Macaca fascicularis: one gene and its partners. The protein of the gene in region 1 interacts with the protein of each later gene in a pairwise test. Links are inferred from orthologs where the notes say so. Each region holds a gene or a part of one and is shown in the gene's direction. Other genes may lie near its edges. The genes, in order: MAPK9, LNX2, ARRB1, SHMT1, EFHC2, ARRB2 and WDR62.

What was found.
Region 2: the proteins of MAPK9 (region 1) and LNX2 interact in binary tests that used the Homo sapiens proteins (3 or more experiments, as listed by UniProt). The link is inferred for Macaca fascicularis from reciprocal best matches to the Homo sapiens genes MAPK9 and LNX2.
Region 3: the proteins of MAPK9 (region 1) and ARRB1 interact in binary tests that used the Homo sapiens proteins (3 or more experiments, as listed by UniProt). The link is inferred for Macaca fascicularis from reciprocal best matches to the Homo sapiens genes MAPK9 and ARRB1.
Region 4: the proteins of MAPK9 (region 1) and SHMT1 interact in binary tests that used the Homo sapiens proteins (3 or more experiments, as listed by UniProt). The two-hybrid records come from large-scale screens. The link is inferred for Macaca fascicularis from reciprocal best matches to the Homo sapiens genes MAPK9 and SHMT1.
Region 5: the proteins of MAPK9 (region 1) and EFHC2 interact in binary tests that used the Homo sapiens proteins (3 or more experiments, as listed by UniProt). The two-hybrid records come from large-scale screens. The link is inferred for Macaca fascicularis from reciprocal best matches to the Homo sapiens genes MAPK9 and EFHC2.
Region 6: the proteins of MAPK9 (region 1) and ARRB2 interact in binary tests that used the Homo sapiens proteins (3 or more experiments, as listed by UniProt). The two-hybrid records come from large-scale screens. The link is inferred for Macaca fascicularis from reciprocal best matches to the Homo sapiens genes MAPK9 and ARRB2.
Region 7: the proteins of MAPK9 (region 1) and WDR62 interact in binary tests that used the Homo sapiens proteins (3 or more experiments, as listed by UniProt). The two-hybrid records come from large-scale screens. The link is inferred for Macaca fascicularis from reciprocal best matches to the Homo sapiens genes MAPK9 and WDR62.

The regions. Positions count from the first base shown.
Region 1 is NC_088380.1:187,169,333-187,173,287, reverse strand, and holds part of MAPK9 (mitogen-activated protein kinase 9), read left to right. Parts: intron 1-528; coding exon 529-658; intron 659-3,955. UniProt on the Homo sapiens protein: Serine/threonine-protein kinase involved in various processes such as cell proliferation, differentiation, migration, transformation and programmed cell death.
Region 2 is NC_088391.1:7,597,402-7,601,809, reverse strand, and holds the start of LNX2 (ligand of Numb protein X 2), read left to right. Parts: upstream 1-1,210; 5' UTR 1,211-1,396; intron 1,397-4,408.
Region 3 is NC_088388.1:74,216,745-74,221,326, reverse strand, and holds the start of ARRB1 (beta-arrestin-1), read left to right. Parts: upstream 1-1,560; 5' UTR 1,561-1,673; coding exon 1,674-1,693; intron 1,694-4,582. UniProt on the Homo sapiens protein: Functions in regulating agonist-mediated G-protein coupled receptor (GPCR) signaling by mediating both receptor desensitization and resensitization processes.
Region 4 is NC_088390.1:18,475,257-18,479,211, reverse strand, and holds part of SHMT1 (serine hydroxymethyltransferase, cytosolic), read left to right. Parts: intron 1-1,974; coding exon 1,975-2,090; intron 2,091-2,769; coding exon 2,770-2,930; intron 2,931-3,955. UniProt on the Homo sapiens protein: Interconversion of serine and glycine.
Region 5 is NC_088395.1:44,209,122-44,213,813, reverse strand, and holds the end of EFHC2 (EF-hand domain-containing family member C2), read left to right. Parts: intron 1-3,760; coding exon 3,761-3,862; 3' UTR 3,863-3,996; downstream 3,997-4,692. UniProt on the Homo sapiens protein: Microtubule inner protein (MIP) part of the dynein-decorated doublet microtubules (DMTs) in cilia axoneme, which is required for motile cilia beating.
Region 6 is NC_088390.1:4,804,556-4,809,032, forward strand, and holds the start of ARRB2 (beta-arrestin-2), read left to right. Parts: upstream 1-1,594; 5' UTR 1,595-1,617; coding exon 1,618-1,751; intron 1,752-4,477. UniProt on the Homo sapiens protein: Functions in regulating agonist-mediated G-protein coupled receptor (GPCR) signaling by mediating both receptor desensitization and resensitization processes.
Region 7 is NC_088393.1:43,309,436-43,313,390, forward strand, and holds part of WDR62 (WD repeat-containing protein 62), read left to right. Parts: coding exon 1-32; intron 33-439; coding exon 440-622; intron 623-2,758; coding exon 2,759-2,919; intron 2,920-3,955. UniProt on the Homo sapiens protein: Required for cerebral cortical development. Plays a role in neuronal proliferation and migration.

The DNA.
Region 1 (3,955 bases):
GGGCATTTACCATGAGCTGAAATTTTGGCTTCTTTTCTTATTAGATACTGTTGTCTAAGAAAAAAACACAATGACTCAAACTTTAGATTTATTGTATTCTTCTCATCAACTCAACCATTTCCTCTACTGTGATATTCCAAAATATACACATTTTAAGATGGGATAACAGTGACTTTGTTTCCAACTTCTTGTCATGTTTAAACTGAAGATTTCATTTCTTGACTGGTTTTATGCACTCTATGTTAAATTACCTGGTTTTGAATGTAGTCTAAACTGTGAAAACGGTACGTGAAGGATTGCTGAACCCCGTCTTAACTGTCGCTGAAATATGTCTCTGCAAAGGGGTTAGTCCATGCTGTAGTCTTAGCCAGCTCACTGTGCTCTTCATATGTGTGGTACCTTGAATGGAAATAAGCAGATTTTTCCTTGTTACTTATTAAAAAGATAATATATTCAATGTATATTCTGGCATTGCTGTGTTTTCCAAAACGGTTCTAATGGATTGTGCATTATATTTCCTAATTCTAGTGCTGCATTTGATACAGTTCTTGGGATAAATGTTGCAGTCAAGAAACTAAGCCGTCCTTTTCAGAACCAAACTCATGCAAAGAGAGCTTATCGTGAACTCGTCCTCTTAAAATGTGTCAATCATAAAAATGTAAGTTATGTGTGTATTTTGTCTGTGTGCTTCCATGTTGTCAATAATGTGAGAATCTTCAGGGTCTTCTGGAGATACATTGAGTTCAGATCTAGGATAAGCTAAGGATAAAAGTGACTATTAACATTGTTATTTTATTTTATTTTATTTATTTATTTATTTATTTATTTATTTTTTGAGATGGGATCTCGCTGCGTCACCCAGGCTGGAGGTCAGTGGCGTGATCTCGGCTCACTGCAAGCTCCGCCTCCCGGGTTCACGCCATTCTCCACCTCAGCCTCCCGAGTAGCTGGGACTACAGGCGCCGCCACCACGCCCGGCTAGTTTTTTGTATTTTCAGTAGAGACGGGGTTTCACCGTGTTAGCCAGGATGGTCTCGATCTCCTGGCCTCTTGATCCACCTGCCTTGGCCTCCCAAAGTGCTGGGATTACAGGTGTGAGCCGCTGTGCCCGGCCTATTTTTTATTGATAAAATTCTTAATAAACATTGAGGAAATTAAAGCTGAAAAGAGGCATCATTATGGTTCATAGGAATTTAGGTCACTCAACCAGAGTAGGAATATCAGTTGATACTGTTTCTGTAAAATAGGAACAGTATTGATCCAACAAATTGAGAAACAACTAAATATTTTGTGGAAAGATGTTGTTCTATAAGTAATTTTTTACCTTGTATATGACATCTCAGTTTCAAATACACTTATTAGATGATGTCACATTTAGAGTAGCTATTCTTGGAAGCGCCACAGAAATCAAAGCACTAAATTTTATGGAGAAATAATGTTTCTAGAAAATGAAGTTGTGCTCAATCAGGCACATTGTATGTTCTCCTAGTGGTCGCTGCTGAGCATTACGTTGATAACCTTGCCAAGTTATAAAATTATAAAATGTTGGCAGGGCGCGGTGGCTCACGCCTGTAATCCCAGCACTTTGGGAGGACAAGGCGGGTGGATCACCACAATCAGGAGATCGAGACCATCCTGACTAACACGGTGAAACCCTGTCTCTACTAAAAATACAAAAAATTAGCCAGGCGTGGTGGTGGGCGCCTGTAGTCCAGCTACTCGAGAGGCTGAGGTGGAGAATGGTGTGAACCCGGGAGGAGGAGCTTGCAGTGAGCAGAGATCGCACCACTGCACTCCAGCTTGGGCGACAGAGCGAGACTCCATCTCAAAATAAATAAATAAATAAATAAATAAATAAATAATGTTAAATCTGGAAGGAGTTTTTTTATTTGTTTTGTGTTGATTTTTTAGACAGGATCTCATTCTGTCACCAAGGCTGTGATTCTCCCACCTCAGCCCCCCAAGTAGCTGGGACTATAGGCGTGTGTCACCATGCTTGACAATTTTTTAAATTTTTTGTAGAGTTGGGGTCTTACCGCATTGCCTAGGCTAGTCTTAAACTCCTGAGCTTCCTTCTTTTGAGTCTGTGGCTTGAGTTGGTTTTAATTTCTCTAATGCATGCTTTATTTTACTTGTTTATTTAAAAAAATTTTCAGGTTACAAAAAATATATATTATTTTTAAAAATTCAAACAATATAAAAAAGTAAAAACTCCTGACTACCACCACCCACAGAGTACTAGCATTAACAATTTGGTGAGCATTCTTATACATACATGTACACAAGTACATAAACAAGATTAATCGTGTTATTCTTCATCCTGCTTTTCTCCTCACGCAGTGTGGGTTGACCTCATGTACTTTAATTAACATAGATATAAGCCAGTTTTTAAATGACTGAATAGCGCAGATGCACAGTAATTTAAGAGACTGCCAACCACCTGTTGTTGGATAGATTGTTTTGTTTCTCACTGTTATAAGCAGTGTTGCAATGAACATTCTTACGCCTGAATTTTTGCACACTTGTCCAGGTGAAGTTCTTGGCCAACATTGCCGGGTCAGAGTACACACTTCTGGTTTATATATATTCTACTTTAATATATACTGACAAATTGATCTCAAGGAAGACTATTAGTTTGATATTTTCATTAAGAGTATCTGAGAAGCTGGGCATGGTCCCTTCCACCTGTAATCCCAGCTACTTATGGGGCTGAGGCAGGCGGGTCGCTTGAAGCCAGGAGTTCAAGGCACACCAGGGCAATAAAACAAGACCCCATCTCTTGAAAAAAAAAGTGTCAGCTGGGCGCTGTGGTGCACGCCTGTAATCCCAACACTGGGAGGCCAAGGCAGGTGGATCACCTGAGTCAGGAGTTTAAGACCAGCTTGGCCAATGTGGTGAAACCCTGTCTCTACTAAAAATACAAAATTTAGCTGGGCATGGTGGCGGGTGCCTGTAATCCCAGCTAATCGGGAGGCTGAGGCAGGAGAATCGCTTGAACCCAGGAAGCGAAGGTTGCAGTGAGCCGAGATCACACCATTGCACTCCAGCCTGGGCGACAAGAGTGAAACTCCATCTCAAAAAAAAAAAAAAAAGTATCTGAGAATGTCTGTTACTTCAGAATCCCCCAGCACTACATACCATTGATTTTTTTTTGTTTTACTTTTGCCAATTTGATAGATAAATGATATTTTTATTTGTGAGGTTGTCATTTATTTTTATGTGTTTTGGTAATTTAATTTTTATGGCCTTTATCCATTTTTCTTTTGGACTGCTGGTCTCTTCTGCATTTGAAGGAGGGTTTTTTTTTTTTTTTTAATATTAAAACTATTGCCCTTTACTTCTTTTTTTCCATTTGACTATGTTGTTGACATACTGATTTTTTATCGCCTGTTTTTTTGTTTCATTTTAATGTAATCAGATCCCTTAGGTTTCCTGTCAGGTTTAGAAAAGATTTTTCTACACCAGGATTATATAAATGTTTATCATATTCTGATGTTTTATTTCATGTTTTAGATTTAAATCTTTGTTCCATTTTGAGTTTATCTTGGTATAAAGATTGAAATATGGATGCAGTTTTATTTTTGTCCTTAGCTAACCGATCACCCCAATCCTATATAATGGATAATTCATCTTTCCCTCAGTCATCTGGAATGACTTAGGTTATGTGTTTGGTGCCTAAGCCGTGGGACTCGCTGTTTACACCATGGGGTGTATTGGTTCGTTCCTGCACTGCTGTAAAGAAATACCTGAGACTGTGTAACTTATAAAGGAAAAGGTTTAATTAACTCACAGTTGCACATGGCTGGGGAGACCTCAGGAAACTTACAATCAGGCGGAAGATGAAAGGGAGGCAGGCACCTTCTTCACAAGGCGGCAGGAGAGAGAAAAGTAAGGAGCAAAGTGGGAAGTGCTCCTTTTAAAACCATCAGATCTCAGGAGAACTCACTCACTATCA
Region 2 (4,408 bases), on another chromosome or scaffold:
GGGGTGGGCGGTGGCTCGCGGCCCGGCGGCTCACCTGGGCGACCAGGCGAGGCCACTCACGGCGGGAGGGGCAGGGGGTGGGGGCAGGGGGTGGGGCCAGCGCCGCTTTACCCCGAGGCCCAGACAGGCCTGCGGGCGCGCCAGCTCAACCTTGGTACCTTTCCCCAGGTGATGGTGAAGGAGCGGGGCTTTACCTGCCGCCCCCAAATCACTTCCCTTCCCAGTGGCAAGGGCGAAAGAGGCCCGACTCCCCCACTGGGGCGGTGTTGACCCAGGATGGCCCTTCCTGGGACCCCGGCCTCCTGGGCCTTCTGTGGGACGACAGGCTTAGGCTCTAGTCGGTCAACACACCTTGAAGAGGGAGGAGGTCACGTGCAAGATGAGTCACGACAGAATACGAGGGTTGAAGGCGGTATTTGTCTCACCGGGGACCTTGCAGTTGCATTCTCAACTGGGTCAAATAAAGGGCAAGAAAGAAATGTCTTTCTCTTTTGGGGGAGTGAGAGTTTGCGAAAAAACTGTTTCCCACCTCATCCTTTCCGTCCTAGGATTCCTTCTATCCCCCAGAGCGCGTCCTCTCCGGCTGTGGACTTCCTTTCCCTTTACCCGCTGTGGCTCTTCAAACCTCTTCACCTGCGGAACCCGCCCTCACCTTTGTTCCCAGGTGCCCAGCCCCCGCCTCGGCAACCTTCGCCACCCAGACTCGCTCTCCGCCCAGCTCCCACGTCCCGGCCCCGGCCGCGCTCCCTCAGGTGCGCTTCCTCTCGAATAGGCCCTTCTCCCCTAGCCGCCGGCCCCGACCCTGCCCCACTCCAGCTGTCCAGCTGTCCTGCGCAACTACGTTTCTGCTTCCCTGCGCCACCTGTTCTCCTAGCCTCCCCCCACCCCGCCCCGCGATTCCTCTGGATGTTCACTCCTTCCCGAGCAGTGCCACTCCTGGCAGCGGCCCGGGGTGCGCACAGGCACCTAGCCCCCGGGGCTTCCGCAGGGGAATCAGGCGGGCGGCGGGGACAGCCCGGGGCGGGTGGGGGAGGCGGGCGGCGAGGGCGGAGTGGTCTCACTCTAACCCAGGAGTGACGGGCCAATTCTGGCCCGCCTCCCGAGCTCTCGGATAGGTGGAGCCGCCCTCTGGTCCGCCCACCTCCCGCCCTGTGCTACCTCCGATTGGCCCGGCTGCGGGTTGGGCCGCTCGGCCTTAGCGCTGGCCCCCGGGAAGGCAGCAGGGGCGGTTGAGAAGTGAAGTCTTGGCCGGAGTTTGCTTCTTGCCAGGAAATCCGCGGTGGCGGCGGCGGCAATTCTCGGCGGAGCGGAGCCGGGCAGGCTCTCCGCTCCCTCAGCGGGCCGCGGAGAGCGGGAGCTGGTGGCCGTGCGCGGCCCGGGCAGCCGCGCTTTCCCAGTGAGTAACTTTGCCCTGCCCGCCTCGCTGCGCGCCCTCTCCCCGGCTGCGGGCAGCCGCCTCAGGTGCGGGCGTCGGCTGGGTGTGGAGGAGCGCCGCGCCCCGGGAGGCGGCCGGAGCGGCGCCGCTGCTCGCCCCGGAGCTTTGGTCGTCCGCGGCTGTCTTTGCTCGCCCGGGCTGCGGGGCTGGCGTGGACTCCGGTGTGGGGCTGGTCGGGGAGGGAGAGTCGGCGCCCGGTGCCCGCCGCCTGTAGGAGCCCTGGAGGCGGGCGGCCTCCGGCTGTTAGCATTTGCTGGTTCCGGCCACCGCGGTGCAGATCTTGGCGTCGTTTGCTTCTTAAGGGAAGGGAGAGGTGGGGTGAGTGTTTAAATTTCCTGTGTGTGTGTGTGTGGTGTCGGCAATGCGAGTGGCACTAGCTGCCTTTGTCGGATTTTGTTCCTCTGCAAAGGGATAGGGAGAGATCGTTCCCTCCGCCCTAGCCTGTTGCCTGTGAATTCTCACCTTTCTCTTTAGGCTGGAGAGGGTGGGAGATAGATTTGACATATTCCAGTGGGTAATTTAAAAATGCGAATCTTGATTTGGAACCAGTTGCACACAAAGCATCGTTCAGGAAATACATCACTCGCTTTTCAAAGCTTTATGCCACGTTTTAAACAAGGACTTTTGACTCATGTAGTGTTTCTTCTAGTATTTCAGTTTACGTTGAGTTTATGAATCCAGACGTTCGTTTGTGCCAGGAGCTAAAGTACACTTATGCATGGACTTTGCTGTATTTATTATCCTTTTTAAAATCACAGAAATCAGAAACAAAGTTGAGTGAAGAGCGGTGGCGGTGCAGGAGGAGGAACACTTGTGAGCTCCAGCTTATTGGAACTGCCTTTAAGAATTTCACATTCTTGCGGCAATAGTACTTACTTGTAAATTGGCCTTCTTCCCAGGACAGATTTTGATATTTCTTTTGCATGTACTTCGATGCAGCACTGATGAAGTTGGATCTCAGTAGATCAATTTTATTTACTTTGCTAGATTTGATTCCCACCCCCACACCTCTTTAGAAAATGGACTTTGGCAGGTAAAGAAGGAAGCGGGAATCTGGTATCCTTTTTGGCTTGTCAAAGCTTTGTTGAGCCATGAATAACAAAGTTTTGGCTTTTTAAGCTTGTCCAAGTCCCACATGTGAGTTTTCCCATGGGGTAAAAGTAGGCCAAATGAGAACCAAAGTAGAATAACATTACTTTTAATTCGGCCCACTTGTGTGTTACATTCTCCATATATCTTGTTTCTCTCGTCTTCTCATCAGCTTTGACATTTTTTCATTATTTATTCATTTAGCCACTGATAAAGTACCTACTGCATGCCAGCCATTGATGGCAGGGGTTAGTTCTTGCCCAGAAGTTTTCTCATTTGGAAATTGATCCATGCTTTTATCCCGCTAGTTACCGTGAAGTAATTTGAACTTAGGGAGCATTTCTGCCTGGAGACCTGTAAGAATAGGTGTTACGTAGGCACCTAGCCTTCAGATTGATTTGGGATATCGTACATTGTAGGCACGGAGCACGCAGGCCACTTAAAAATAAATGCATGTATCTTTGGGCTGTTGTATTATGAGCTTTGCATATGGGCTTGTCTGGCCGAAGGACCCAGTGTCCAAGGTGGAAGTAGTAGTCAGGGACATGTATGGTATTCATTTCAGAGCACTTGGCACCTTTTCTTGCTTACATTGGTCACTAAAATATTTACTGAATTGACTTGAACAGAAAAATGAAGGATTTTGTATACCAGATTAAGAAATTTGGACTTTATCCAGTCAGTGATACTGAGCTGCTAATTTTAAGCAGGAGAATGTCATGATAACATTCGCGTTCCAGAAAGATATCTGCAGCATCTGGAGGATGGTGGGCTTCCAGATGGGCGGTATTGAGACTAAGTTGGAGGCTGTTATAATGGAGGGGTTAAGTGCTCAGGGATTCTCTATTCAGATTACCTGGGGTGGAATCAAGCTCTGTCATACACTGAAACCTCTTTGTTCCTTAGGTTTTTCATCTCAGAGTTTGGGGGATAGAACTTGAAAAAACATGTATATTACTTAGAATAGTGATTGCCACATAGTAAGGACTTAGTAAATGCTAGTGTGCTGGCAGTGGAAGGAGAAACGACATGGCATTTAACGCGTATGACTAGGAGGCTGGACCAGGTAAGTGACTAGATAGGCTTAAGGGAGGGGAAGGATGAATCCTGGGTTGTTTGATTTCAGGCATTGATTGACATGTACTGGGTAAGCTGGCTGTGGAATTAAAACGGGTCAAATTCTAATTCTATTACTTACCCTTAGAATTACTATCCTGACAGAACTTTGATTTCCTAATATTTGGGAAATGATTGTCATACCTGTTCAATAGGGTTTGAGAAATTACACATGTAATGCCTTTGGCAGGGTACCTAGCACATTCCAAGTGCATAGATGATGACGTTAATGAGCTAGTGGAATGTTGGAGGATATGAGAAGAAGCAGTTAAAAACAATTGATGGTAGAGGTGTGGAAGGGGAGATAAGTTCAGTTTTGGACCAATCTAAGGAGGTGCTAAATGGATGGTTGAGAGATCCATGATGCAGTTGTTGGATAGTTGTGTCTCACAGGAGCTAGAAAAGAATAGAAAAGAAAAAAAAAGAGTTCACAGAAAGCCTTTATGGGTGTGGTAAGCTTTATAGGCGATTTAGAGGAAGGGGAGGGTGAAGGGGTTCACAGTGGAGCAATGTCAGAAGTGTTGACATTGAATATTAGGCATTTCTGTCCTTAAAATACATTTTGGCCACCATCAAAGAAAGAAGGACTCCAGGCTCTTGTAATCTGGTTGGCTCTTCGGCCTTCTCCCCCTCTTCTTTCTTTCCTTTCTGACTGCCACCCCAAAATTCAAATATCTTTAAATTGTATTATGAAGAACTATTTAACTTCCCCTCCTGCTTACAGGGCCATAGTTCACAGGCCCACCTTCCTCTATCCAAATGCTTCTA
Region 3 (4,582 bases), on another chromosome or scaffold:
CTGATGTGGAGAGTGGCAGGACCTGGCCTCACCATCCTGGTTAGGGATCTCCTGTCATCAAAAAGATTCTAGTCTGCTCCTTTCCAGATCTCTGAGCCCTGCAGAAACAACAGGTGGCTTCCTCTTCTTCCCCTGTGGAGGGTGAAGCCCAGAGGCCAAGACTGGGAGGAGGGTTCTGGGCCTTCCTCCATATTCTCTAGCTCCTAACATTGCCCAGAGGTGGGCCACCCTGCCTACCCATCAGCCTTCCCCTGCCCCTCTGCCAAATCTGGACATAATTATAGTAATGATACTGCATATAAACAGTATAGGTAACTGCTTCTGAGCATGATTACAGGAGATGTTTACACACTCACAACAGCATCAGAGTAAATGATAGCTTCCTCCCTTAATACTTAGACCTTTCAGGGATAGTTAGCCAAATCTCAGCAGTGAGGGTGTGGGAAAGACCTTACAATTTCCCACTACCTGCAAAGCAGGAAGGCACCTCAGACAAAGCAGCGTCCCAGCCAAGATTTCACAGGACATCAAGAAGCCTGCAGAGAAGTGGGCTAACATCTACTGGGCACCTACTGTATGCAGGCACTTGGGGAGGCCAGCAAACAAGCAAGTTCTTTCAACCTATTAATTCTGCAGGCTGATATTAGTGTATCCTCACTTTACAGGTCCGGACATGCGTTCTCAGAAGCTTGGTGTACAGGGTCACCCGCAGCAGGCCATGGAGCTAGGCATGGGCACTTTCCACGGTGCTACCCGGTCACATCAGCGGGCCAGCTCTGCCCTCTTCCTTTATCGCCTCTTCTCACTTCTCGCAGCTTCCCTTTCCTGGGCGGCTTCCTGCAGCCCTTGCTGGTCGCGGGTCTCCGCTCAGTTCCCCAGTGTCAAGGCCGTCTACTGCCCCCTCCACCCCTTCTTCCTGTCTCTGTTGGGTGACTGGGTGTTATCTCTCCAGTAGAAGGGGGTGGGGTGGGGTGGAATGGGGAAGGGTGGAGCACAGGGCGAAGGCCTTGCCAGGCATCCCGGGGTCTCCAGCTAGGCGAGCGGCCGCAGAGAGCGCGGCCTCGGGGTCGCCAGACCCTCGGCTTCCAACCACACGCACACACAAAGGCTGCCCCGGCATGCGCGGGAGAGCGCGCTCGCACCCACGGCCGTGCGCACACACGCACAACTGCACAAAGACGTGCACACTCCTCCATCCACACCAATACACTCCCAATAGGGCCAGCACACAGCCGTGCGCCCTCACGTACACCACACCACCACCACCATACAAACACACACACACTCACTCATACGGACTCGCACGCGGGTGGACCCCTCCCCCACCACAAACGCCGACCTTGGGGCCTTGACGCGTCCTGCAGCGCTGCCCCGGCTCGCTGGGCGGCGCGCGCACACGCAGACGCACGAGCGCGCGCACACACACACACACCCCGCGCGGTTCCACGCCCCTGACCGCGGCCCGGGCGCTGCGCTGCTCCGCGCGGCGGGAGGCGGGCGGGGACCGGGGGCGGGGGCGGGGGCGGGGGCGGGGGCGGTGGCGGCGGCGGCCGGGAGAGCGGAGAAGGCGGAGCAGGGAGCCGGGAGCGGGCTGGCCCGCGCTCCTCCTGCTGGCCGGGGATTTTCCAGCCTGGGTGCTGACGCCGCGGACCTCCCTGCGGCCGTCGCGGACCATGGGCGACAAAGGGACCCGGTGAGTGCAGGGCGGTCGCCCGGCGTGGGGCGTGTGGGGGCGACCTCGGCGAGGGCACGGGCGGGGGCTCCGATTGCGTCCTGGTTCTGTGTTCGCGGCCATCCCGGGATCTAGTACCAGCCCTCCTCCACCCGAGGTCTCCTGCGTGGTCTCCCCGGCAGGGCCGTGGGCGAGGGGGACCCAAAGGGCGAGGGCCGGGCCGCCCCATGTGGGCCGCGGCTCCTGGCCCGGACACACTCACAGCTTGCTGATACCCAGCATTGGCCGGCAGCCGCAGAAACGCGCGGGGGCAGGTTGACACACAATACACGCACGGGCACACTAACCCGTGGCACAGGCATGCTGGCGCACACACTGGCAGCCACTGGCACACGCTCATCACACACAGTGGCACGCCGTCATACACGCCTCGGTCAACACATTCTTGCTTACAGCCTTGTTGGCATGAACGGCTCACACTCCAACACACACCAATTCTAACACACCCTCGTGCTAGCACACACGTGTGGGCATACACTGATACGCAAACTGTCACCTGCACTCGCTGTAGCAAACACTCTTGCTGGTACACACATCACCCTCACTAGCACACACACTTGTGCTGGCATGTCTCACCAACACAGTGGAGCGCAAGGCCACACCAACACTGACCCCCACAGACACAATCAGACTAATGCTTGCAAAGACTGGCACCCCGCAGGCACGAGCTGCTAGCCGGAGGCCCGCTGACACACACGTTCCAGGCCCCACATGGCCAGAAGTGGAAACACACATCACACGGGGTAGAACGCTCCCCACTGCCCCCAGCCTGGGGAAAACAGATCCCATCCCATCCGAATAGATCGCATCCATCTACTCTGTTCCCTTTCCCTCTGACCTCCTGAGGAGTGGCTGGCCAGGGGCTGTTTTGAACCTAGGGCTGGGAGAACCCCTCCCGTTCTAGAACCTGGCCTGAAATACTCAGAAAGAAACGGTCTATGCCTCTGAAAGGGGAAAGTGGGACAGAAGGAGGAGGGGGCTGGAGCAGGACAGCCCCTGGGGGCAGCCCTTCAGACAGGACCAGCCCTTCAGACAGGACCAGCCCTGGTCAAGGGCTCAGCATTGCCACCCTATTTTCCCCGTTGCCCTCCCCACCCAAGTGGGCACAGCAGCCTCTTCCTGGGCTCCCCCTCTTTCTCATTGTTTTCTGTCTTTCTCCTCTCCTATTCTTGTGCCTGACTTCTGCCTCCTCCCTTTCCTCCCCTCTCCTCTCCTCGGTTCCATTTATTATTAAGCTCTTGCTGTATACTAGGCATAGTGTGGGTAATCAAAGATGCGCAAGGCCCACTCCTCTGAAGGAGCTAACAGACTAGAGAGACACACCCCAGTGGGCACCACCTTTCAGGGCCACTGACAAAGCCATTTCTCACGTACTGCCATCTGAGACTCTCTCTCAACAGTGTGAGAAAGGGCTTCCAGAGATTATTTCTATTTTCTAGAGGAGGAAACTGAGGCTCAGAGGCAACTTAGGCTCTTAATGTTTAGAAATTACTTTCCAGCCATCCTCCTGACAGCTCTTCCAGGGGGTTAATTTTCCTCTTCCTGTTTTCTAGCAGAGGAACCAGAGAGCTGGAGAGGTCATGTGATTTGCCTAAGGTCAAAAGAGGCCAGAGGCAGGGCAGAGGCTGGAGTCCACTTGGTCATGTCTCTGTGGATGGCCCTAGGGCACTACCAGGCCCCACATGGGCCAGGGAGGGGTGCCCTGCTCTGTGCTGGAGGCCCAGGCTTTGGGGGAGACAGCAGAAGATCATGCTGTGTCTGCATGCATCTTGATGGCTAGTCCCCATTGCAGCTGGCTGGCCAGCACTGTGACCTAGGCCTCTGTCCTCAGTAGGAAGGTATGTGACTCCCTCCCCAGCCACATCCATCTTGACCCATGAGGTCAGGCTTTTCTTCCTGCAGGGTATAGCAGGGAGTTGGAGCCATTCTCCACTCCTCCTGTCCTTCCTAGGCTGCCTTGTGATTGGGGTAACTCAGCCTCTCTTGGGTCTCTCTGTACCTCTCTGTGACTTGGGGGATAAGTGTCATTGCTGTCCTGCTGACATGATTGTCAGGAAGATGTGGACACCATGGGCTTCCAGGCACCTGTTGGAGACCCTGTCTCTGAGGCCAAGATATTTTCCATGACTCCCCCTGCCCTGCCTTGAACTCACTGCTGGACCGTTGGGACATTGGGCAATTGCCTTTACTTTTCCGGACCTTAGTTTCCCATCTGTAAACTGGAGCTATCAATACTTAACATTTTAAGGCTTCCCTTGTACTTACTGACTTCACTGGGCAGGGGAAGAGGCACTGCCTGAAGCCTGGAGCCAAGGCCCAGCTAAATCCACCTGATAGTGGCCCTGACCTCCCCCTCAGACTCTCCTGCAGCCCCATGAGGGCTTTCTGTCCCTTTCCAGACAGTTTGCTAAGTAATTTGGAAAAGAAGGGCAAAATCGGTAATGGGCTGTACCTTGTCTTTTTCCGTAAGCCATGAGATTCTACTTTATCTATGACTTAGAGGAGGAATCTGAAGATATCTAAAACTGAACATCAGGAATCATTGCATCCATCCCTCCATCTGGAATTGCACCCCCATATGAAAGTGACAATGAAAATTTATCAGAAACTGTCACTGCCTTCTAGGAATTCCCAGGTTCAAGGGGGAAAGTGGTGTTAAATACCTGGACAGGGCTGTGCGTGGTGGCTCACGCCTGCAATCCTAGCACTTTGGAAGGCTGAGATGGGCAGGTTGCTTGAGCTCAGGAGTTTGAGACCAGCCCGGGTAACATGGTGAAATACCATCTCTACAAAAAATACAAAAATTAGCTGAGTGTGGTGGCACATGCCTATAGTCCTAACTACTCAGGA
Region 4 (3,955 bases), on another chromosome or scaffold:
TATGTTACATTTTTTTTTATTTTTTATTTTATTTTATTTTATTTTTTTTTTTTGAGACGGAGTCTCGCTCTGTCGCCCAGCCCAGGCTGGAGTGCAGTGGCGCGATCTCGGCTCACTGCAAGCTCCGCCTCCCGGGTTCACGCCATTCTCCTGCCTCAGCCTCCCGAGTAGCTGGGACTACAGGCGCCCACAACCGCGCCCGGCTAATTTTTTGTATTTTTAGTAGAGACGAGGTTTCACTGTGGTCTCGATCTCCTGACCTTGTGATCCGCCCGCCTCGGCCTCCCAAAGTGCTGGGATTACAGGCGTGAGCCACCGCGCCCGGCCCTATGTTACATTTTTTTTAAAAACAAAAAGAAATACATTTATATTTTAATTTTTAAGCTTTTTGTGACAGCCCACAAGGGCTCACACCTGTAATCCTAACATTTTGAGAGCCTGAGATGGGAAGATCACTTGAGACCAGGAGTTTGAGACCAGCTTTGGCAACATAAGGAGACCCTTTCTCTGCAAAAAAGTAAAAAATTAGTTGGGTGTGGTACACATGGGCTTGTAGCCCCAACTCCTCAGGAGCCTGAGGCAGGGGAAGATTGCTTGAGCCTAGGAGTTCTAGGCTGCAGTAAGCTATGATTTCACCACTGCACTCCTGCCTGGGTGATAAAACAAGACCCTGTCTCTTATTTTTTTATTTTTTATTTTTTTAAAAGAAAGCTTTTTGTGATCACAGGGTCTAAAAGCTAAAAATTATTGGTTAGGCCGTGTGCAGTGGCTCACGCCTGTAATCCCAGCACTTTGGGAGGAGGAGGCGGGCAGATAACCTGAGGTCGGGAGTTCAAGACCAGCCTGGCCAACATGGAGAAACCCTGTCTCTACTGAAAATACAAAAATTAGCCGGGCATGGTGGTGGACACCTGCAGTCCCAGCTACTCAGGAGGCTGAGGCAGGAGAATGGCGTGAACCCGGGAGGCGGAGCTTGCAGTGAGCCGAGATCGCGCCACTGCACTCCAGCCTGGGCAACAGAGCGAGACTCTGTCTCAAAAAAAAAAAAAAAAAAATTACTGGCTTGAACCCAGTAATTTTTAGTACTTGAGTTATCAATATAATAAATAATAGATAATAAAAACATAAATATATGATAAATTTTGATATGCAGTTATTAAATTGAAAGTAAAATTTCATTAGAAATGCAAAACGTCAAAAACAAAAACAAACTCTCTAGTCCTTGTTCCCCCATCTCTGGCAGCCACCATTCTATTTTCTGCCTCTATGAGCTTAACTACTTTAGGGACCTCATAAAAGTTGAATCATACAGTGCTTGTCTTTTGGTGACTGGTTTGTTTCACTTAGCATAATGTTCTCAGACTCATCCCTGTTGTATTAATAGCATGTGACAGGATTTCTTTCCTTTTTTTTCTTCCTTTTTTTTTTTTTTTTTTTGGAACAGGGTCTCACTCTGTTGCCCAGGCTGGAGTCCAGTGGTGTGATCACAGCTCACTGCAGCCTTTACCTCCTGGGCCCAAGTGAATCTTCCCTCCTCAGCCTCCCACGTAGCTGGGACTGTGGGCACACACCACCACACCTGGCTAATTTTTGAAATTTTTTGTAGAGATGGGGGTATTGCTATATTGTCCCGGCTGGTCTCAAACTCCTGGGCTCGAGCAATCCTTCCTTGGCCCCTCAAAGTGCTGGGATTATAGGCATGTGCCACCTCTCCCGGCCAAAACCCCCCCTTTTTATAGATGAGATACTTGCTCCAAGTTGCACAGCTGGTTTGGTCTCTTGACTCTAGATTCCAGAGGCATTGGTGGAACACTTGATCATGCTGGCTTCAGCATCTGCATGTTAACAAGCTCTTCTCGTTCGTTACTTCTCTGCACTTTAGTTTCACTGTCCCACCCCGAGCTTCTTTGGCCTCTGTGAAGCACAGATTTTCTGGGTCTGATTGGATCTAAGTCTCCTACTCTCCTCCCACAGATACTATGGCGGGACTGAGTTTATTGATGAACTGGAGACCCTCTGTCAGAAGCGAGCCCTGCAGGCCTATAAGCTGGACCCACAGTGCTGGGGGGTCAACGTCCAGCCCTACTCAGGTGATTGTCTCATCCACATGGCCTGGTGCAGCCTCATCATGTGCATCCCCCAGGGCTGACATGCACCAAGAAGCATCCTAAGAAGGACTTGCATCCTAAGAAGGACTGCCATAGGCCGGGCGCGGTTGGCTCATGCCTGTAATCCCAGCACTTTGGGAGGCAGAGGCAGGCAGGTCACCTGAGGCCGGGACTTCAAGACCACCTGACCAACATGGAGAAACCTGGTCTCTACTGAAAATACAAAAATTAGCTGGGTGTAGTGGTGCATGCCTGTAATCCCAGCTACTCAGAGGCTGAGGCAAGAGAATTGCTTGAACCTGGGAGGTAGAGGTTGCGCTAAGCCAAGATCGCGCCATTGCACGCCAGCCTGGGCAACAAGAGTGAAACTCCATCTCAAAAACAAAAAAAAAAAAAAGAAGGACTGCCATAAATAAAAGATAAGCCATGCATCTCTCTGTATTGCCCTTGGGCTCCCAGCTCTGTACCCCCTCCCAGGCAGTGCCCTTTCTCTGAACTTCCTCTTTCAAGGCTGATGGTGAAGGGGCACCTCCTGGAGCTCAGGGAAGGCACGAGGCCTGTTCTTGCCACTCCTGGGTGAAGGCTTAGTGGCCAAGGTCCCGGATGCCACTTGGTACCTCGGTCAGAAATAATCGTGTCTCCTTTGGTCCACTTGTTTCAGGCTCCCCTGCAAACTTCGCTGTGTACACTGCCCTGGTGGAACCCCATGGGCGCATCATGGGCCTGGACCTGCCAGATGGGGGCCACCTGACCCATGGGTTCATGACAGACAAGAAGAAAATCTCTGCCACGTCCATCTTCTTTGAATCTATGCCCTATAAGGTAAGCATGTGTTTCTCTCCATAGCTTTTATTTCCTTGGGAAACCTCTGATGTTTGGCTCTGCCTGTAGGGATAAGTTTGGTTTATGTGTCACTATAGGAAGTCCCCACCTTGCACCATTTTTCATTTCCCTGCCGTGGGGACTCCTCAGGCTTTCAGGACCCGCTGGGGCAGCTGGGATGGAGAGACGAGGGTCTGAGCTGAGGCCATAGGGAAACCAGTGAGGGAGGCAACTACTGAGGAGAGTTCAGGTGTGGCAGGGGCAGTGGTAACTGCTGGGAATAACAACCCTGGGGAATAGCAACCAGGTCACTACAGTTGGACCCCAGCAACAGCCACCACCTCCACAGCTCTGCCCTCGCCTGGTGACATCTCTGCTCAGAGCCCCTGTGGGCCAGCAGCAGCATAAGGATGCAGTAGCTGCAGGGATGGCAGCATCCTCGGCTCCAGCACCAAAACCAGCAGCCCTGTGCCATCCACAGCAACAGTCCTCCATGGCCATGTTAGGGCCAGCCCCTGCCTGTGTATAGCGGCTACAGAGGAACAGACAGTGGTTTGACTTAGGACGTTCAACCTTAGGATAGTGCAAAAGTGACATGCATTCAATAGATATATTTCAAGCTCCCATACATCCGTTCTGCTTTTCACTGTCAATACAGTATTCAGTAGATTACATGAGATAGTCAACACCGTATTATAAAATAAGCTTTGTGTTTGACTCTCTTGCCCGGTGTAGGGTACCACAGTGTTCTCAGCATGTTTAAGGTAGGCCAGGCTAGATTGTGACGTTGGATAGGTTAGGTGTATCACATGCATTTTTGACTTTATGATATTTTCAGCTAAATGATGAGTTTATTGGAATGTAACCCCATAAGTTGAGGTATGACTTTATGATATTTTCAGCTTAATGATGAGTTTATTGGAATGTAACCCCATAAGTTGAGGTATGACTTTATGATATTTTCAGCTTAATGATGAGTTTATTGGAATGTAACCCCATAAGTTGCGGAGCACCTGTACTGTTCA
Region 5 (4,692 bases), on another chromosome or scaffold:
TCTCAGTTTCTTTTCCTGTAAATAGATTATCCTCATAATACTTATCTCTTAAGGGGTTTCTGTGATGATTAAATAACTTAATACATGTAAAACACTTAAAAGAGTATCAGCCATGTAGTAAATATCCAATAAATGTATTGTTATTCCTATTACTACTAGGTAATTACAAGATTCCTATCTATAACCCTGCACAAATCTGCAACTAGTTTATCATCATCATAAATCATCTCTTAAATTAAGGTTTTACACCTGAATCAGAAATGCTGGTACTTAGTTATTGTCTGATTCTATGACAGGGTTGTCAATTGTCATAGTTTTACATGTCACTCATATTCCAGTGACTTCTATATCTTTGCACAGTTCTGGATTCTAGCTCTGTGCTATATATAACCATATTTACAGATGTTTACCAGAATCTTCACCTTGATGTCCCATGGACACCTGAAAGAAAAAGTACCCACATTCTTAGCAAACTATCACAAGAACAGAAAACCAAACACCGCATGTTCTCACTCATAGGTGGGAACTGAACAATGAGATCACTTGGACTCGGGAAGGGGAACATCACACACCGGGGCCTATCATGGGGAGGGGGGAGGGGGGAGGGATTGCATTGGGAGTTATACCTGATGTAAATGACGAGTTGATGGGTGCTGACGAGTTGATGGGTGCAGCACAGCAACATGACACAAGTATACATATGTAACAAACCTGCACGTTATGCACATGTACCCTAGAACTTAAAATATAATAATAATAAAAAATAAATAAATAAATAAAAAAGAAAGAAAGAAAAAGTGCCCACAACTGAACTTAGAATTTCCCTCTGAGCCTTGTTTTCCTACTAAAAAATGTTTTAAAACTCTTCCTGCTTTCCTTATGATATTACACTGGGTTGAATATTGTCCCCTCCAAAAGTCATGTCTACCCCAAGCCTCAGAATGTGACCTTATTTGGATATAGTCTTTGCAGATAAAATTAATTAAAATGAAGTTATGCTGGATTAGAGTGGACCCTAAATGCAGTGACTGGTGACTTGATAAGAAAGCCGCATGAAGACATATTGGTATACACAGAGAACACCATGTGAAGTTGGAGGCAGACGCTGGAGTGATATGCCTACAAGCCAAGGCATGACTGCCAGCCACCACCAGAAGCCAGGAGGGAGGCATGGAATAAATTCTCCCTGAAAGCCTCCAGAAAGATCCAATGCTGCCAACACCTTGGTTTTGGACTTCTGGCCTTCTGAACTGTGAAAGAATAAGTTTCTGTTGCTTTAAGCCACTTCCTTTGTGGTACTTTGTAATGACAGCCCCAGGAAACTAATAACAGATACTGTCAACTATTATTAAATTTAGAGTTCTTAGAACTATCCTTACCTGTATTAGTTTCCTAGTGATGCCCTCACGAAGTACCACAGACTGAGTTGCTTAAAACAATAGAAATTTATTCTTCCACAGTTCTGGAGGCTAGCAGTCCAAAATCTAGGTGTCAGCAGGGCCACACTTTCTCTGAAACCTGTGTGGGAATCCTTCCCTGCCTCTTCCTAGACTCTGATGGTTTGCTGGCAGTCTTTGGTGTTCCTTGGTTTGCAGCTGCAAAACTCTAATCTCTGCCTCTGTGGTCACCTGGTGTTCCCCCTGTGTGTCTCTGTCTTTACCTGGCTGTCTTCTTATAGGGAGGCCAGTCATATTGAATTAGGGGCCCACCCTACTCCAGTATGATCTCATTTTCCTCATCTTAATTTACCTAATCACATCCACAAAAACCCTATTTCCAAACAAGGTCACATTCTGAGGTACTAGGGATTAGGACTTCACATACCTCTTTTGCGGGGGGGCGGGGACACAACTCAACCCATAGCACTACACCTTTCTTTTTTCACCATTTCAATTGATCCCCTTCTAGCTATTTTATGTTCTCCTGCAGCAGCATCTCTCAGAGGTAGCTCCTGTCCTCCATGCCCACTTCAGCTGCCCTGGTTATGGCACAGTCATCTTTCAGCGGTATTATTGCACTCACCTCCAGATTGCTTTTCTTACTTCATTTCATTCTCTGTACATCCAGCAAGTTAGCTAATCAGTTTCTAATCAGATTTCTGTCATTTCACTGGCCAAGACCTACAGTGACTTCCCGTAACCACAGCCTCAAGTAGAAACTAGCACAGAAGGCCAGAAGTTTGGCCCCAGCTTCTCCTTCTAACCATCTCTCTTGCCACTTTGCACCATGTGCCGCATACCACACTGGGCTACTCACCCTTTCTTGAAAATAGATTTTAGGTCTCCAGGCCTTTGCTTACACTGGTCCCTATGCCTGGAACACCCTTCACGACCCTAAACCCTCTGCTGAACTGTTTTTCATCCCATAAGGTGCAACTGAAACACCACTTACTCAGCTTGCTTCCAAAATTCCATTACATCAAATTATTGAGCCTTTACCTATGTTTCTGTGACACCTTGCGATTCTCGATACTAATGTAACACTAGTAAAGATATAGAACCTCTTATATACAACAATTAACCTTGACAGTCATATTTTAACCTTGACAGTAGAAATATAAGCAGGCATATATATGGACTTTGCCTCCTGTTGATATTAATTAACCATTGCAGCATATTCAAAAAGTTTGTGTGTGTGTGTGTATATACACACATATTTACATATTATATACAATGTGCATCTGTGTGTGTATATGTATACACACACACACACACACACACAAAGTGGCTTATCTGCAAGATCACACTGTGAGTGATCCAGTGTTCTTTTCATTGTTTACGGAAGAAACAGTAACCAAGCAGCCAGTATAGCTACCAGTTTGTATTTTAAAAATTGGGTTCTTTAGGCGGCAGTTCACGCCTGTAATTCCAGCACTTTGGGAGGCTGAGGTGGATGGATAACTTGAAGCCAGGAGTTTGAGACCAGACCAGTCCGGCCTATATGGCGAAACCCGTCTCTCCTAAAAATACAAAAATTAGCTGGGCGTGGTGGCATGTGCCTGTAATCCCAGCTACTCGGGAGGCTGAGGCATGAGAATCACTCGAACCTGGGAGTCAGAGGTTGCAGTGAGCAGAGATTGCGCCACTGTACTCCAGCCTGGGCAACAAAGTGAGACCCTGCCTTAAAACAAATAAAATAAAAATAAAAATTGGGTTCTTAAGAAAGTATAGGAGGATCTATCACTGTATTAATGCTGCATGACAACTCCTGAAATTTCAGTGGTTCACAAGAAGGCACATTTCTTTTTCTTTTCTATGGGCATGTAGGTCAGTGAAGCATGGCTGGATTCAGCTAAGCTTGGCTCTTAGTCTGCAAGTCCAGCCTGGTCTGATCCCCCTTGGTCATTCTAAAAACAACAGCATCCTGGGCCATGTTCTTTTCATGGTGATGGCAGAGGCACAGAAGGCCAAGCCAAATGATGCCAGCACACTAGAGCCTCTGTTCATGATATGTCTGCTAACAGTACATAGGTCAAAGCCAGTCATGTGGCCAACCACATATCAAAGGAACAGGAAAATATACTCTTCTTACTCCACGGGAGGTTCTGCAGAGTCATATGACAAAGAGTGTGGGCACGTAATTCTTATACAGGGAGGGAATGAAGAATCAAGAACAAGTATCCAGTCTACCACAAAGTCTTTATGAACCTGAAGTAGATGGTAGAAATTTTCCCTTTGAAAATAAACTTCGGTGTTGAATTTTCAAAACTGTACTTTGAAATGTGGTTCTAATCATATCCATTTTTGTTTTTTTTTTCTAGAGATGTGAAGATATCTGGCTTGGCATGCCATCACCTATTCCTGCGAAATACATTGACTACTTGACCCTTTTGAAGGATGTGTTTGGCTTAGAGGAGGAATAACCATGCCAGTTTTGGTCAATTCTCTTTGATTTACTTCTCTCATTTTGCCACATTTACTTTAGTAGATATAATTTCATTAAAAACAAAAAAGAAACAAGGTTTATATTAAATGGAAATCCACAAATCACAATTAATCCTATTTTGTCATGTTAGTTTTTCAGAACATCATGTTATATTTCTGCCGTACTGTTACTATTTAAAATGCCATCTTAAAACATGTTGAATATTTTTATTATATGTATATTTTATTAATACCAAAAAATCTTCTGATAATTTTTCATCCAACGTAATTTGATTCATTAGTATATGAACAGAAAATAACTTCTGAAGGTTATACATGACAATACAAAATCAAATTATATCACAGCAATAAGTTGTGATTCTATTAAATATTTTTGAAACCTTTTTGACACATTTATTACTTATATAGTTAAGTTTTGTAGCAACCCACCTCATCAAAATAATTCTTAAACCTCTCTAGAGTAAATATGTTTATTTTTTAAACTTAGTAAAGCTATGGGAAGAAAAAGAACCTCCCCAAAACACACACACACACACACACACACACACACACACAGGAAACATATGCAGTATTTATATTTGTAATGCCCTTTTTTCTATCTAAAGTCAGCTTGTTAGCTTAGGAATATATGCATGTGTATATAATTATAGTTTGACCAAAAATTTATTATGTCTAAAATATTTACAAATGTGAAAGCTGAAGATTTTGAGATTTTTTTTTTTTTTGGTTTGTTTTACACACACATCCCACCCGCCCCACCCTAGAGGTTTAAATATTCAGAAACTACAACATTTTTCCCCTGCATTTT
Region 6 (4,477 bases), on another chromosome or scaffold:
TCAGCCCACCTCGGCCTCCCAAAGTACTGGGACTACAGGTGTGAGCCACTGCACGCGGCCCCCTCTGCTTTAAAAACCACTACTGGTTCCTCGTGTCCTTCTGCGGGGCCCTCAGTCTCGCTCCTTCATCTGCTATACAAAATCCTCCACAACCTGTTCCAGGCTTCCCCACCAACACCACACAACAGGATGTGCCTTGTCTTTCTCTTTGGAATGCCCTGTCTTAACTTCTGCCCGGCCCGGCACGGTGGCTCACGCCTGTAATCCCAACACTTTGGGAGGCTGAGGCGGGTGGAACACGAGGTCAGGCATTTGAGACCAGCAAGGCCAACGTGATGAAACCTTGTCTCTATTAAAAATATGAAAAGTAGCTAGGCATTGTGGCAGGCGCCTGTAATCCCAGCTACTCGGGAGGCTGAGCAGAGAAGTGCTTGAACCTGGGAGGCGGAGGTTGCAGTGAGCCGAGATCGCGCCACTGCACTCCAGCCGGGGCAACAGAGCGAGACTCTATCTCAAAAAAAAGAAAACGAAAAAAAACTTCTGCACATCCTTCAGAAAGACTGTCCTCATATGTTCTCCGCTCCACCCCCGCCCGGGCCGAGCGCTGTTAGTGGCTGTGTCTTCTGACTCAGACCTCTGTAATAGCATTCCTGGGTAATACCTGTGTATGTGTCTCCTCAACTATTCTAGGAAGTCAGGGGCCATGGTAATTCATATGTGTCCCCATCGATTGGCATAGTAAATAGCATAAAATAGGCACGGATGGGTGGGTCGATAGATGGACCGATGGGTGCGAGCGAGTGAGTGAGTGGATGTTAGCTGGGATGGGTGGGTGAAGGAGATGGAGAGTCAGAGACATTGGAAAAGGGAACCCTGCGAAAATCAAATGTAGACACCAGGAGGAGCTGACACGCTGCGGTGAAGAAGCGGGAGGGCTGGCCACAGAAGGCGGTACGCTCCGCGTGGAGCAGGTGAGCTGCGCGCACTGAAGCAAGTATCACGCAATTGAACTGCTCACCCACGTGTTCCCCCCCACCATCCTCCTTCCCAGACGGCGCTTCAGCTCATTCCACCGCCCCCAACAGCCCGGTCGCCCCCACCGCCACTGAGAAAGCAAACAAAGGGGAGGAGACCCCTAAAGGTTCTGGATGCCGAGGGCCAATCGAAAGACTTAGATCCCCTGGAAGGCGGGAGCCTTGGTTTAGGGGGGCCCAATCGGTTTCAAGGGGTTGCGGCGGGGCGGGGAGATGGGCGGGAAGAGCGGGAGCGGGCCCCGCGCGCGGGGGAGGGCTCCCCGGCTGGGACGGAACGCGAAGGGTTGGGGGCGGAGCCAATGGCCCTGTGTGTCTGCTAGGAGAGGGCGGGCAGCGCCGCGGCGCGCGCGATCCGGCTGACGCATCTGGCCCCGGTTCCCCCAGACCAGAGCCGGGCCGGGAGGGAGGGGGAAGAGGCGAGAGCGCGGAGGGCGCGCGTGCGCATTGGCGCGGGGAGGAGCAGGGATCTTGGCAGCGGGCGAGGAGGCTGCGAGCGAGCCGCGAACCGAGCGGGCGGCGGGCGCGCGCACCATGGGGGAGAAACCCGGGACCAGGTAAGGGAGGTGGGGCCACGCGGCGGGGCATGGGCGGCGGCTCGGGGCGGGGGCTGGGACGGTCCCAGACGAGGACGCCGCGGAGAGGATCTGGGGGCCGGACGCCTGGGTCCCTAGGGACAGCCATCCGGGGCCGCACGCGCAGGTCCTCGAGGATAATGAGGTTGGGGGGAAATGCCCGGGCCCCTGCAGAAAGCGAGGCCGGAGGGGGATCAGAAAAACCGGTGTCGGGGTTCTCTCAGGGATGTGGGGCCAGACTACTGGGCTCTCCCGTGCCCAGGAGTCTGGGCAGGCTGCGATGCAGGGACGGAGGGAGGAGCAGGTGGCTGGCCCCGAGGGGTCGTGTACGGGGAGGCTGGATGCTGGGAGGGGGATCCCCTCCAGACTCGTGCCAAGCCAATGCAAAGCCTCCTGTCCAATATCCCCCAGGTAGTCGCGCTGCCCACACCTGTCCCGAGGGCCGGGTGGCTCCTCATCCAAACTTCTACCTTCCCCTGGGTTGCCAGGAGCAACAACAGCTTCATCTTGGGAGAGCCTGACCCTTCCTGAAACTAGATCGGATCCCTCTCCCTGGGGGTGGGGGAGGCAGTATTCACGCTGGGCGCGCGTCCACTCCCCGGATGTTTTCTGTGCAATCGAGGCTCTTTCCTTCCACTGATACCCCGAGTTCTCTTTTTTGGTCTCTAGCAAAATCCACTTCCTGTTGTGACTCAACACCCCCAAGGGGTAAGGGGTGAATGCCTGAGTCCCAGGGGAGCAGGAGCAAAAGACAGAAAGGTTGGGGCTGTAGGCCTCAACCCAGAGGGGATCGGGAATAGGGAATTGGTCCTGAGCTCTGGCTTGCTCTGCAAAGCATCATATCGACCCCACTTCCAACCTATAGAGTAGGAGAACCCAGGTTTCTGAGCGTCAAGTAGATGAGTATCAGAAAGAGATCATCAGAGAGATGATCGGTGTCCTGGATTAGGGTTTAAACATCCCAGAGAAAGGGGAAGTTGCTGCCTTGTGGGAGGCCCCTGATTTCCGTTATGTGGTTCAAGGAGTGGGACAGATGGACCAAAGGGGACTGCTGACTTGACCCAATTTCCCTCACCTCCATCAAATTCTGGGCCACAGGAAATGGAGAGAATAGCAGGAAGTGTGAAAGGACATCTGCTTCAGCTACCCCTGCCCCCATTGGGCACCTCCCTGGTCATCCCCACACTCTGCCTCCTTGGCCAGCCTAGTATCTGCACGCTGCTCCTCCTCAGCCTGGCAGGAGGTGGCTGGGTTAGGATCCAAAGGGCAGGTGCCTTGCAGCTGCTCCAGGGCAGTTGCCCCAGAGCCACACTGCAGTTGGCCCACTGACTGTGGCTGTCACAGCCCTGTGCCAGGGCTCCTAATGGGAGGACACCCTGGGACAAAGAGGAAAACCAGAAGCAAAGGGGAGGGAGAGCCTGGATGATGCCACAGCACTCAGCCCCCAAGTTGGGACAAAAGATAGGATGTTTATTCTAGCTGCCACCGTATCGATGTTTATTCTCTTTTATTGGTTAGGAATACCTGGGAGCCTCCATACCCTTTACCTTATAATCTTTGGACAGCTTGGCTTTCTGGGAAGAAGGGACAAGTGAAGTTGTAGCAGAAACTGGGCCTATGGTAGAAACCATTTAGGGCCAAAGGCCAGAGTCATTGCTCTCCTATATGCTCCAGCTGTCAGAGCTGTAGACCAGATGGAAAGATGGTTAAGTCTTACCCAGATACTGCGGCAACCTGCCCATTGGGGTCCTCTGGGAATGGGGTGGTAGAGTTGGAGGAGGGATGGGCTAGTTGGCAGGATTTCACGTTCTGCTGTCTATCTGAGGATCCTTTCCAGGGATCACTGCTGAGGCAGAGTGGATTGGAAGGAGTAAGGTGATGCTTCAAAGAATAGGCTCACAATTGGCCAGATCACTGGGATTGCCAAACACTTCCTTACCCTCCCAGCAGTGGGTGGAGTCCAGGCTTAAATTGTTTCAGCAACTGGAAAGCGAATACCCTTCAATTGAACAAACTATTGATGCCAGCTACAGAGACGGATAGTGTAATATTGATTGAGAGGATGGACTCGGAGCCAGACCGCCTTGGTTTCTATTAATTCCCACCATTTACTCTCTCTGTGACCTTAAAACACTTAACCTCTCTCTGCCTCAGTTTCCTCACCTGGAAAATAGAGACATTAGGACCTCCATCACTGGGTAGTTTTATTTTATTTTATTTTTTATTTATTTATTTATTTGAAATGGAGTCTTGCTCTGTCACCCAGGCTGGAGTGCAGTGACGCAATCTTGGCTCACTGCAACCTAAGGCCGGGCGTGGTGGCTCACGCCTGTAATCCCAGCACTTTGGGAGGCTGAGGCGGGTGCATCACCTGAGGTCAGGAGTTGGAGATCAGCCTGGCCAACTTGGGGAAACCTTGTCTCTACTAAAAAACTACAAAATACAGGCCAGACGCCGTGGCTCAAGCCCGTAATCCCAGCCCTTTGGGAGGCTGAGGCGGGCGGATCACTTGAGGTCAGGAGTTCGAGATCAGCCTGGCCAACATAGGGAAACCCCATCTATACTAAAAATATAAAAATTAGCAGCCAGGCGCAGTGGCTCACACCTGTAATCCCAGCACTTTGGGAGGCCAAGACTGGCGGATCACGAGGTCAGGAGATGAAGACCGTCCTGGCTAACACAGTGAAACCCCGTCTCTACTAAAAATACAAAAAATTAGCCGGGCGTGGTGGTGGGCACCTGTAGTCCTAGCTACTTGGGAGGCTGAGGCAGGAGAATGGCATGAACCTGGGAGGCAGAGGTTGCAGTGAGCCAAAATTGCGCCACTGCACTCCAGCCTGGGCAACAGAGCAAGACTCCATCTCAAAAAAA
Region 7 (3,955 bases), on another chromosome or scaffold:
TCTGGTTCTTGGAAGTCTCCACTGAGACAAAGGTGAGTTTCTGTCCCTGGCCCTTTAACCAGGCCCTGAGGGAGTCACCATCTGTGGCAGCATGGCCTCCTGTTTCTCCCTGGGATTTGAGGGCAGCGGTCTCGGGCCATTTGACCTCTCAGGGGCCCAGCTGCTGCTTCTGGGCCTACTCTCAGGGGGCTGATGCACAGGCCCTGCCAGGAACCCCCTGACCCTGGGACCAGCTCTCATTCTTGGACTGCTGCTTCCAGCCCCCCTGTCCAGAGTGGCAGGGTTCTAGTGTTTTCTTTCCTTCTCCTCCATTTGGAAGAGCTTCTTGGAGTTCTCCTGTTTCGTTGTGTCCTATCATCTGGTCATGCAGGACCCATCGTGGCCCTGTTGGGGGCTCAGCTGTGTGGACAGTATCTCACTATGCCCTCTGTGTCTCCAGGTGACGAGCACAGTGCCCCTTGTAGGGCGCTCAGGCATCCTGGGCGAGCTACACAACAATATCTTCTGTGGTGTGGCCTGCGGTCGGGGCCGGATGGCAGGCAGTACCTTCTGTGTGTCCTACTCGGGCCTCCTCTGCCAATTCAATGAGAAGAGAGTGCTGGAGAAGTGGATCAACCTGAAGGTACCACCTCCCTCTCTGCCATCAGTTGGACAGGCTCTTTCTCATGATATGTGTCTGCAGGGGTGTTCATCAGTATTGACCACACAGGTTCTGCTTATGTGACTAATGGTGAATGACACCCCCTCTCTGAGCTTCAGGTTCCACATCTGTAAAATGGGAGTACTGCTGCCCTCCCCACAGAGCTGATAAAGAAGTCACGTGAGATAATATAGGCAGTGAGCACCGTGCTTGGTAACCTGAAATGGGCTCAAGGTGACAGTTTTTTTCCCATTACTATTTGATCTACTTCACATTTCTCTTCTCCTTTGAGCACTCTGGCTGGTAGAGGATTGCATTTTTAAAAACTCAGAGGTATCATTGATTTAATAACTTTTCAATCAAAAAAGACTACACAAAATGCATGAACTTTTATTTATTTTTAATTTTTTTTTTTTGAGATGGAGTCTTACTCTATTGCCCAGGCTGGAGTGCAGTGGTGTAGTCTCGGCTTACTGCAAGTTCCGCCTCCCAGGTTCAAGCGATTCTCCTGCCTCAGCCTCCCAAGTAGCTGGGATTACAGGCGCCTGCCACAACGCACAGCTAATTTTTGTATTTTTAGTAGAGACAGGGTTTTACCATGTTGACCAGGCTGGTCTCAAACTCCTGACCTTTAGTGATCCACCGGTATTGGCCTCCCACTGTGCCCTGCCATAAACTTTTAAACTAAAGCATGATCTATCGATACATTGCAGAGCTTCTTTCCTTTAGTATCTGAAAGTTTGTGTCCAAGCTATTTTCCCATCTGGAATCAGTTGCCCATTTGGCTATCAGCCAGAGCGTTGTGGTTTTCTCTCCTGTTCCTTGCTTGCCTTTGTAACTCACTCCAGAGATCACCTTTGAGGTTAATGGCATGTGAAAGAGTTCCAAGTTTTATATTTGTCCTAGTTGGTTAAACATCATTTTCTCTTTTTCAAGCAAGTGAAAAGCTTTCAATAGATAGATGTTTAGTTCCTAAACACTAAATGACTCATAAATTAAGTCCCTCTAGATTTGGAAAAACTCCTTAAACTGCATCTAGAGGTCTAGCACTTCCTAGTAGGATAGACAGTCCTTTCTAGATACTATAACTTTTTTCTTTTTTCTTTTTTTTTTTTTTGAGACGGAGTCTGGCTCTGTTGCCCAGGCTGGAGTGCAGTGGCCGGATCTCAGCTCACTGCAAGCTCCGCCTCCCGGGTTCACGCCATTCTCCGGCCTCAGCCTCCCGAGTAGCTGGGACTACAGGCGCCCGCCACCTCGCCCGGCTAGTTTTTTGTATTTCTTAGTAGAGACGGGGTTTCACCGTGTTAGCCAGGATGGTCTCGATCTCCTGACCTCGTGATCCACCTGTCTCGGCCTCCCAAAGTGCTGGGATTACAGGCTTGAGCCACCGCGCCCGGCCTTATAACTTTTTTCTGTACTGCTTTGGAGTATAGTCATTATGAAGTTGTTTGTAAGCAAAAGGGAATAAAATTTAAGCCTAAAGGCCAGGCGCAGTGGCTCATATCTGTAATCCCAGCACTTTGGGAGACCGAGGTGGGTGGATCACCTGAGGTCAGGAGTTCAAGACCAGCCTGACCGACATGGTGAAATCCCATCTCAAAATACAAAAAAATTAGCCGGATGTGGTGGCAGGCGCCTGTAATCCCAGCTACTCTGGAGGCTGAGGCAAGAGAATCGCTTGAACCCGGGAGGTGAAAGTTGCAGTGAGCCAAGATCGCACCATTGTACTCCAGCCTGGGCGACGACCAAAAAAAAAAACTCCATCTCAAAAAAAAAAAAATTTAAGCTTAACATTCAACCCTGTTACTACAAGTGACTTACCTGAAATTGCAGTCTGCTGAACAGGTATTCTTCATACATAGCTACGTTTCTCTGTGGACGGCAGTGACATCTCTGTCTCCGTTCATGTCTCTGTCTACCTGGGGACACATGTATTTCAATAGCAGCAGTATACTATACCTTGATTTCAGAAATCTTAAAATATGCTAAAATGGGTGTCTTAGACCCAAGGAACTATAAGTCTTCTCTGGAGGCCTAAGGCTGCTCTGTCAGTCCCCATGTCCCTGGGCCAGGCCACGTGAAGCACCAAATCCACTGGGGTCCCTTTTGCCCCTACAGGTCTCCCTGTCTTCCTGCCTCTGTGTCAGCCAGGAGCTCATCTTCTGTGGCTGCACAGATGGGATAGTCCGCATCTTCCAGGCCCACAGCCTGCACTACCTCGCCAACCTGCCCAAGCCACACTACCTTGGGGTAGATGTGGCACAGGGCCTGGAGCCCAGGTACTGCCCTGCAGGGAGAGGGAACGGAACGGGAGGGGCCCACCCAGAGTCTCGCCACTGGCATTCATCCATGCTTCCAGATCCATATATCTGTCCATCCCACAAATACTCATCATGACTCTCAGCCCTGGGCGTTACAAAGCAGAAAAGTCCTTGCCTTCCAAGGCAAGCTTCACAGTGAGAAGTGAGGCTGGGTAGGGGAAGAAACAGTCAGTGAGAAAACAAACGAATAAACAGTATCATCTCAGATAGCGGTCAGCATGGTGAAGAACAGTGCAGAGCAGCTGTGAATGTGGTGGAGTGTTTGCATCCACATGGCTGACCCCTACTAAGCAGCTGCTAAGTGCCAGCCCTGGGCTGGAAGCAGGATACACCTATAGTGAAGCAGCAAAATCTCTGCCTCTGTGCAGTGTAGCAGGGGGGCTCGATGATAAGCAAGTACACAAAGAAGGTAATTTCAGATAGGCATCAGTGCTTTGGGGAACACAGCAAGGACTCAGGAAGGAGAGTGCCGGGGTGGGCTGTGCTGATTGGGTGTCTGGTGAGAAGGAGCTGCTGTGTGGAGAGCTCGGTCCCAGCAACTGAGGTGACAGTACACTGGGCTTGTCATGTTGCAGGAATAGTGAGGGATTGTGTGGCCAGAGCCCAGTGTGCCCGGGGAGGATGGTGGGAGATGAGGCCAGTGTGGGGCGCCTGTAGTCTATCCTTAGGTCAGTGGGCAGTTGCTTGGGGGTTTCGGGCATTGGGGTAAATGACCAGGCCTTACATGTTAGGTCCCTCTGCTGCTGTGTCGAGAGTGGATGGAAGTGCTAGGCTGTGGCTTGTCTTCTCCTTTGTTGCAAGTCTGTTTTATGGAATCGGGGGCTACCTAACCAGGGGGTGCCGGGTGCCTAGGGCTGCCTCTTTGTGGATTTCTGGATACTAGCTCCTGGGTGCCTTTTCCATGACAGGACCTGAACAGGGGAACTGGGTGTCATGAAGGAAAGGAGGGAGTGAGCAACCCACAGGCAGTGTTGTGTTATAGTAGCTGGGCTCA